2 linked regions of the Drosophila melanogaster genome follow. The protein of the gene in region 2 interacts with the protein of the main gene of each other region in a pairwise test. Each region holds a gene or a part of one and is shown on either strand. Other genes may lie near its edges.

What was found.
Region 1: the proteins of CG6425 (region 2) and Scp2 interact in a two-hybrid assay, tested with the Drosophila melanogaster proteins (one large-scale study listed by BioGRID).

What each region holds. Positions count from the first base shown.
Region 1 is NT_033777.3:16,580,558-16,585,665, reverse strand, and holds the start of Scp2 (sarcoplasmic calcium-binding protein 2), read left to right. Parts: upstream 1-2,002; 5' UTR 2,003-2,102; intron 2,103-5,108.
Region 2 is NT_033777.3:26,714,545-26,719,202, reverse strand, and holds CG6425 (uncharacterized protein), read left to right. Parts: upstream 1-1,813; 5' UTR 1,814-1,938; coding exon 1,939-2,005; intron 2,006-2,064; coding exon 2,065-3,087; intron 3,088-3,152; coding exon 3,153-3,184; 3' UTR 3,185-4,038; downstream 4,039-4,658. Other genes in the region: Yif1 (Yip1-interacting factor 1), read right to left, coding at 1-281, 337-875, 1,177-1,225.

The sequences.
Region 1 (5,108 bases), about 10 Mb from region 2:
TTTTTGGAGCAACTTTTCTCAGTGTACTTCGTCCGCTCGTGTGTGAGCCACAACGGAACGTTTAGTGGTCCCACTTATGCGGCGGAGCAAAATGAAGGGAAGAGGCGATGCAGCAGACGTGGAATGGAAGCCCAAAAACAAAAAAAAAAAAACTACATGAAATAGGTGGACAGCTAAACGTTGTGAAATGGGGCCAAACGCTAGAAGGCATTCAAGATTTTAGTGGGTCTTTGGCCAGGCTCATGTTAATTTCAAACTGTGTCAATGTCGGCTTCCGTTTCCTGCACACACACACAGGACGTAGCCTTTGGCCACTTGAGATGCAAAGAGGTAAAAAGGCCACAAATTTAAACATTTGCCCACTCCAACACGCACCGTCGCTCCCACACACACACACACACACTTACAAAAAGAAATCAAGGTGGCCGGAACGAAACATTGGTAAAACGGTCATCTGCAATAAGCATCAGCTGCTGCTGGAACAGCGTGAAAGTGGAACAAGCAGAGGCTGCAGGACACCCGCTGGGCGAGAAGCACAGGATGTGGGCCAAAAAGGCACGGGGAGCCTGCTCCTGAGGCGCTTGATAAATTGGTAGCGACATTTCAGCCGAAACTTGACAATTAACAGCTGAAATACATGAGCTGTATATGTCTGCTTTGTGTAATTAAAAACCCAGCAGACAGCCTGGAAATTGCTTGGCCAAAATGCTTTCATTTTTTTTTCGGTTCTAGCCACTTTCGTCGGTTGGTGGTCCACTCTTGGACAAGATTGAATGCGCCAACAGAAATTATGCCGCCAAGTGTGCCTTATATTGCTGCTACTGCTGCTCTTGCAGCAGCTGTTTTGGCTGCCTTCTTCTTTGGGCCAAATTAACTTTAGCCAAGTTGAGTCCACAGCCAGCCTATGTGTTTGTGTGTGTCCGTGTTGCCTTCTTTTAAGGGAGAGCATGCCTGTGTGAGTGCTTCAGTTTATTGTGTGTGTGTCAAGGCTATGCTAAAAATTTGTCCAGAACATTTGCACATTTTGATTTGTTATGTTGTGGTGCACTGCAAACAATGTCGATGTATTTGGGTGGATGCTGTACGAGTATTATGTTGTATTGGGTCTCATCTACATCATCGTGATCATAATGTGCTGTTAGCAAAACTCAATTTCTTTTAAATCCTTTGGGGTTTATTTGCCAAGTTGTAATTAATTGAATTATTTCCCAGAAGAAATTATTATGTTGATTTATCTTCGAGTATACGTTTGCTGTATTATGGGGAGCGTGCTATAGTTTATTGGTAAATTAGTAATTTATGTTGACTAATAGATTGCCTCCTTTTCGGCTTTATCATTGTTTTTGTGCAGCTTAGACTTTGCTTCTTCGATGGAACAAAGTTTTGCGATAAAAGGGCGATCAACGTTTAAAGTTGGCTTAGGAAAACCTCTAGAACAGTTCTAAATTTTGGTAGTAACTAAACGAGAAAGCCAGCACACATCCCTCAGTGTCTTTTTGGCCACCCGAGGCGTCGTAACCCCTGAGCCCAACATTGTATGCGAATGCCGCTCCGATAAGACGTGCCATTTAATTACCAAAATATAAAGTGCATTCCGGCTACCAGAGCGCCCAGCATGGAGTTTTCTGCGAGTGTCAAATCCCAAAACAAACCCACGAGCAAATATGCCGCATGCTGATGACGACGGCGATGCCGATGTTCGGCTCGTAACAGTGCACGTGGTGGCCAAAAAGCACGCTACATGCACTACATCTACTCATACACTTACTCACACACGCACACACACACACACACACACACACAGGCTCGTGTCGGGTGCAGCACTCACTCACACCATGACGAGTGCAGAGGCGTCGGCAGAGTCGACCGAGACGGCGACTGCGATAAGATAAAGCCCCTGCGATGACATAGAGCACCCAGAGCGCTCGAGTTCTGCCGACGCTGGCAGAGATGGCGGCGCAGACGAGTAGCGCATATAAAAGCCGCTGACTCGATGGCAACGAGCATCACAAGACGGCCAACCGCGCTGCCGAGCAGACGAGTCCAGTTCGAGAGGGTACCAAAATTTAATCAGAAAGTGTAGAGTCAGTTTAGAAGCAACGGTAAAGTTAACGTCTATCTCTGTGTGTGAGTGTGTGTGTGTGTGCGAGTGCTAGTGCTAGTGCACCTGTGTTTGTGCTGAGAGTTTCCGCTACAAGAATAATAATGCCGCAACATTTTTCGAAAAAGCCCATTTCCAAAACCGACAAAAGAACAAGCCAAAAGTAACGAGCACAAGTGGGTGGCTCAAAGAGCTGCGAGGCTCAACAGGAACCAGAGCCCCAGTTTTCCTTGAGTGGGCAGATAGTTTGTGAAAGAAAGGTGGGGGTAGGGTATGCTGGAGGTACTTTTGCAAAAAACACAACCAACCTCTCGACAATTTAACAACTGGAAGAATATTCTTACTTCGCCCCACCTTGGTCAGGGCCATAATGAATTCATTGAAAGCGTGGCCAAAGTTTTGCTCTGGCCAAGCCAAGGAGAAGCGAACGCTGCCGCTCTAAGGATCCTCGTCCTGTCAGTCAGTCAGTCAGTCAGCCAGCCTGTGTCTGTTTTTTCGGTCCTGTTGTTTGGCCAGGCATGCGTCGGTGGCCTTAGGCCGCTCATTGTGAGCTCCTTGGCTCCACAGCTCCTCGGTGGCTGCAAATTGTAAATTGTAAAACTGTAAATTGTCAAACTGTAAATTAATGCAAATTACACGAAATTACTGCGAACCGGACAATGCAACAAAAGGCAAATAGTGGACGCGGAATACGGCGGACAGTGGACAGCGGACCACGGACAATTCCCGGAGCTGCATCAGCAGATAAAGAGCAAACGGCGACGCCACTTGCATTGTCTATTATTTTAAATTGGCTGCGCAAATTTACGGCAGCGCAAAAGTAATTAGCGACGGTTGAAAACTGTGCCATCGTCCAACTCGAATTGAGAATGAAGATGGGTGAGAATTGGAAAAGCGATTGGGTCATCTGGTCATCGGGGGGATTAGGCTGCTGCTGGGATCAGCAAACCGAGTTGTAGATTCCCTGCCAATGGCAGGCCAAATACGTATTCCACTGTCCAATTTGCATGCTGATGCAATCAAAACTACTACAATTTGTCCAGAAAATCGATCAATCGCATGTCTGACAGAGTGTAGCATACTTTTCAGCACTGCCTAACATTTGTCAGCTATCTGCATTTTTTTCGGACCCCATCCCACATTTTATTCTCTAATAATTTATGAGCTTCCTGCCTGCCCTCGCCTGTCGGGAATTCAGATTTTGCATAATAAACACATTGCAGCCCAAACCAAAAAACAAGAACCAGTTTATGCAAATCAAATTGTGTTGATAAACGAGTGGTAGGGTGTTCTCTAATTTGATTGCCCAATAAATTGCTGTATCGAATGAAACCATTTCGCATCTCGCGCGCCGATACTAAAAAAGCAATTAAAGCATTGATGTCTTCATATTGAAATTTATAACTTCACAGATGGCTATTAATTGCCGGAGAGGAGATAAAAGTCTGGGATTTCCGCCATATTTCCATTATTAGAAACTCGTTGCTGCGCTGCATGGCCCGAAAAATGAAAGCGAAACTCAAACAGAACCCAATTAACGAGCCTTCGGCGGTGATGTTGGTTAATGTGGTTGCCTCGTGCCACAAAAGCCGACGCAGTTTTGTGGCAAACAGCGCGTGGCTTTTATGCATTGGCGCATGAGTATTGGTAATTAATGGGAAGGCGGCGGCACAAATGACCGTGCCACAGCGACAAACAAACTTCCGCGCCACACGGCGTATGCGTAATGTGCTCGGCGCCCTACAAAGCGGAACCCAGCGGAAAACTGAAAAACAAATGACATCGATGAATTCAATTTGCGCGCATATTTAATTATTAAATGCGAGGATAAATAATACGCACATCAGGCTATTAAAAGGCTTTAAATTTCCACGGCCATTTCCCGTAGCCATTTCGAAAGTGCTACTGAAATGTGATTTCACTGCATTGCAATGCATTGGCTAGCAGGCTCGTAGATTATCCAGTCGAACTTAATCCCGTTTCCAATTGACCTGGAACAAGCAGACCATTTATATCACCTTTTATATATATTTATTTGCATTGATAAACTTATAAACATATAAAGATTTATGCTAGGAGAGAATATATCAGAATATAACAGAACTAAATAGTATGAATATTTTTGGATGAATATTATTGGCTCCAAACTGTTGTATGAAAACGGTTTCATTTGTCTTAAACGACGAACAAATTTCACAAGTGGTCTCATATTGATTTGTATTTTCCCGTATAAAAACATTAATTTCCTTATGCCCCTGGCTACGTGATTGTATTTCAGTTGAAAAGCACTTTTCATTCCCTTCTGGAAAGAAACTCACGGAATTGCAATTGCCAATGGAGATGGAAAGGGCGCCAAATTGAATATTACACTTTTTGTGTACTTTTAGCCAGTTGAGATGTGGATTATTTTTTCAGCATTCATTTTTTATTTTAACCAACATACTACCACTCCAATTTCACCTGATGTTAATTGAGGCGCACGTGGGAAATTAATGAACTGTGACAGTCTGATTTTTGCGCGCAAATGTGTGTGCATTAAATGCTAAATGAAGTTGACATCGGCTGCCGCATTGTTTGAGGCCATCGTTAATTTATTAATTAAACAAGCGATTTAACCTATTGCAATAATTGTCAAAATTAACCTTTATGACAGCGAAATTTGTGAATTCAATTAACATTGCCAAAGTCAGCTTTGCACAAGATTAATCGTTCTAAGGGAAAATGGAAGGAGGGCTTATGCAGCTTATGAATTTTTGCAATATACAGCATTATGAATACTGGGCCAGATTATTTTTTAATTTATTTTGACTCTTAACTTTTGACCTTGCTATGACATAATTTTAAATAAAATGTGGGTAATATTGTTGATTTTATTCCGTTTTTCATAAATTGTAATTGAACTAATCCACTTTTAAGCCAGCACTCACCTGCACTTCAGATGCCCGAAGGCAATAGAACCAATATTGATAATTCTTCCATTAGAATAACAATTTCCCCACCATTTTCT
Region 2 (4,658 bases):
TAACCAGTGAATGCCAGCAGATCAAGCGTTTTCAGGCTCGTCTTCACATTCATTACGTACAGGGCTAGGGAGTAAATGACCAATTCGAAAATGCTATATGCCATGGCGCTGGAGGCCTGAATGCCGAGCTGCTCCGGCGAAAATCGCTTCTGCATGCCCAGAAGCAAACCCGCTACGATCACGTATGTGATGTAGCCCATGGTGGGCAGATAGAGATCTGGCGCATTAACATCATATCGTGGTTGCACTGGGTGCTCTTGGTCGTAGCGCAGGGACCAATCCTGAAAGGAGTATGTAATTTATATGGTTTCTCCGTTTGTGCTTCACCACTCTCACCTTATGCATATAGGGGAAAAACAGAAGGCGCAACTTCCTGCCCACGTAGGCGTTGTCCACTGCGAAGTAGTACTTGAGCTTGGCTACGGGCACCCACTTCTCGAACTGATTCTCCATGATCTGCTTGCCCTGATCCGCTAGTTTCTGACCGTACTGCATAGCCATGTCTTGCACGATGGGCTGCTGGAACATGGCGAACTGTGGGTACTGTCCAGTGGGTGGAGCTACAGGCTGAGGTGCTCCTATTCCGTAGGTGGGTGGCCCAGCCGCCTGTTGGGGAGGTGGTGCTCCATATCCGTATCCGGGCTGCTGTTGTGGTGGCTGCTGAATGTGCTGCGAGGGCTGGCCGAGATTGGGGTCGAAGCCATAGCTGTTGACCGGGGCCGGAGCAGGTGCTCCGTACATATTGGGATCTAGTATTCCGGGGCCGGTGGGCGGGGCCATGAAGGTGGCGCCACCGCCCATCATCGGAGCCGAGGGTCCCATGGCGTTAACATCACTCACACGCTTCGGCGGCCTTGGGCGACCGGCAGCTGAGGCTATTTTGGGACAGAGCAACCATTAGTTAGTGCCGGAGGATCTAAACGATACAACTGGGAAGCGGGGAACACAGGCACTCAAGCTACACACGCATCACGGAACGGAAACGCACAGCAGGCATAGAAACTGGGGAGCAGGATGCAGTGGAAGCCAGGAGCGGCGCACAAAACGGGGTAACGTGTAACGTAAACAGTGACAGCACTCCGGATTCCGATTCCGGTCAGCGGCGGGTGGGGAAATTCCGGAGTGGCTGCACCGGACATCCTTCAGGTATACTTGCTTGCGTAGCCTGATCCTTACAGTTCTCCCACTTACGGTTCCGCATACCCGGATTTGGATTGTAGTTCATCTTTCTGGATCAGTAAATTGTATTCAAAATTTCGCTTTTTAACACATCACCATAAGCATTTTGTTGTGTGACCGGAGTTTAGTGTTGCCAAATACCAAAGCATGACCGCCTACCAGAATGTTTGCACTCCGATAGATAAAATACTAAAAGTTACAAAAAAAAATTATAGATATCTTTGTTTTTTTTTTTTTTTGTATTATATTTTGTATATTTGTACATTTCTCTATTTTTATAACGTTTACTCCGTAAGTTTACTTATATGTAAATTTATACACTATTTTATTTATACACTAAACTTTCTTTAAGACAATTTCCTATTGTTCATCTTATTGCGATATATGGATTTATGTGCCAATGGATGTCTCAGTACTCAAATAACTGATTTCTTGCATTGGTGGTAACAGAAATATCATCAAGTCAGCCATTATATAAAAGAACATATGTAGATGAAAATTTAAATTGATTGTATTTTAAAGATAAAATATTTTCATAGATTTTGGAGAGTGGATTTTTTTATTAAACTATGCGTTTAAGTGGAAAAGGGCTATAAACAAAACGAGTTGAATAGCAGAGTGACCATGTGAGTTTTGACAGTGCCATCTGGCAACACTGTCGGCTTACTTTAATTTTTAGCGCATTCCGCAGCGCAAAACAAAACAAATTTGATTAGTTAAATAATTGACTGCAGTTCACTTTATTGTTAAGTCAAAGTTATGGAGAACGCACTTAAACGGCGATCTTTAACGCTCAGCACGCGTCTGCTGCATAAGCGCCACAGTGGTAAGGATTTCCAAGCTCGAAAAATCAGGAATATCCATAAAACAATCCTTTGTTAATAGCTTCACCACAGAGCGTACGCACAGGGCACAATGTAAGTGTATCCGTGGACACTCCCGGCTCGCCCAACTCCTCAGCAGTAGTGGGAATCACGTCCGACCTGGAGAGCACTCCACCACACAAACACAAGCCCAGCTTGGACGACAGTGTGGACTTCTCGCCCCGTTTGGACATCAGCCTTTCGCCCAGCTGCCTCTTCTCCCAGACACTGGCCACCGAAAGTCCGGAGGTGGGCTGGCGCTGGAACCGAAGCAGCAATGCCACCACGGACAGTGGCTTCGACTCCGCGGAAATAGGCAGTTTGAGCCAGCGCGAACGACGCCGGCAGATAGCCTTTAAGGGCGTCGAGGATAGACGCAGCCAACTGGACAATGAGCAGTGGCGGGCACAGCAGATGCGGGCTAATGTTCTTCTTAAGGAGCGCTGTGCTAGGCTCAATAGCCAGTTGGAGCAAATAGCTGTGTCCGAACCAGTAATGCCACTAAAAACTCCTAAAGCTCCGTCACCTGTTGCTCCCCGCACAAGATTAACCTGCACGAAGGCTACGCCAGAGCCAGTGCTTTCCCCTGTAGCTGCCTCCGATCCAATGGCAGACTTCCTCAACGACTCGGAGACGGATCTCTTCCTGCTTGAGGCCTCCCAGCAACTGGAGTCGAAAATAGAACACCATGAACCTCCCAAATCAAGCACAAGCACCACACCCACTAGGCACCACACGGCAAAGCGACCCTCCTTCTACATGAAATTTCTGGAAGACGAAAGCGAGGGCGAGGACTGGCTAAACGCCCTAGAAGAGGCAGTGCAGCAGGCCACAATGCCGAAGAAGCCGCGCACCTCGCTGCAGCGCTACAAATCAATGCCAACCACAGGGGATTCGTGCAGCGGAGTGTCCACCCTGACCAATGTGACGGCCAATTCAAATGCCTGCACAAGTGCCTCCTCCGCATCTGGTTCAGAGCTAAGGGATACTCCGCGCATCAAACGGCACGCCAGTTCGCACGCTCTGTCCCCAGCCACATCGCATGGTAAGTGCCAGAGTGAAGTCAAACATTTCTAGACCAAAGCAAACTCATCATTTCGTTCCCTGCAGCGCGCGGCAAACTCTTTGGCAGCCGGAAATGAAACCCGATTAGGTAACCAGCCCCTGAATACAATCAGCTTCCCTTCAGCGAGTACCAATTGTGATGAGCAAAGTTAGAGTTTAAGATATTTCGTTTTGTTTCGCTTGACTTGCGTGCCCCCTTGCCTGAGCATTCTGTATACGAGTACGCTAATTGATTAATGCAGCTCCAAAGCGTCTTTGAAAATGTTAATTTAAGCCTAATTAAAAATTAATTGTAATTTAAAGCAGGACCCTTAATATTCGCATCGAAGGCCTGTGCGTTCGTTCGGCGCATGCGACTCGCCATATGTTCGGCATTATCGGGCCGCGAACGCGCCGCCCACCAGTACCACCAGTACAGGTGGCAGGACGCAGACGGACAGGTGGATACGACTGGTCGCCGACAGGCAGTGAATTGACGTCCCCCGGTTGAGCTTTCATTCACGGATAGGAAGCTCGTTGAGTGCGACAGCGTTTTAAATTAATTGAAATGTAGGCGAAGGATTTCTGTTTTAATATTCAGACTATGGTTATATATAGGTCAGTTGGATTTCTTCGCGTCTTTGAGTTGCTTGAGAAGCAGCTGATAAACCCAACAAAATTAGTATTTAATTACACGTTACCTAAGTACGCCAATTCCTCATCATCTTCGATTGTTTCAATGAATATTTCGTTTTCTTTTTTCCACTATTGATAAACCTGTTTAATATATTATTAAGCCTAATGTAAATGCTTACATTGTGCTGGTTTTTTATATATGTATGAAACATTCAAGACCCAAGCCTTAATAATTTAGTGTATACAAAAGTATTTCTTATTTTTCGTTTATATTACATAAGTTGTATTGAAAAACAAATAAAAACTGCAACTTATTTATCTCTTGAGTTATTTTTCCGGCAACCAATCAAGCAAACATTACCCAATGTTAATTTATGTGGAGTTCATAAAATTAAATTTAAAATGCAATGAGGAGTCTAAGAAGGGATTTCCCTGGAAAACAGAATTTATGGCAAATGAAATCAAAGTGTGTGAATCCCATCTCGCACTTAAAACTCGGGAGGAGGCAACAATCAAGTCGGCATGAAAAGCCGGCGAAAGTTGCCCCAGCTGTCTTCACTTTTCGCTTGGCCTGCAGTTTAAAGGCTTGGGTGCTCGAGGCTTTATGAACCTATTTGGGCTAAGGTCAAAGTTGAAGCCCTTTCGCAGCCATTACGCGTAAGAGGCAATTGCGCCCATGTTTATGAATAGTCCTCCTCCAGTCGTCAGTAGTCCCTTCGCCATTCGAACCGCAGGAGCAAGTGACTCCATTCAGCCGAATCGTGCCATTCAGCCGAAAGTCAGCGAAAGTCAAGTATGCTGCCATATGTTTACGGAGCGCAGCATAAACCAATGACAAAACACTAGCTACAACTTAGCACGGAATGGTGGGTGGCTAATGGCAGCGGGCGTCCAAACTGGTGACGTCTGCGGGCAGCCAAAGCCGCTGCAGAAGCC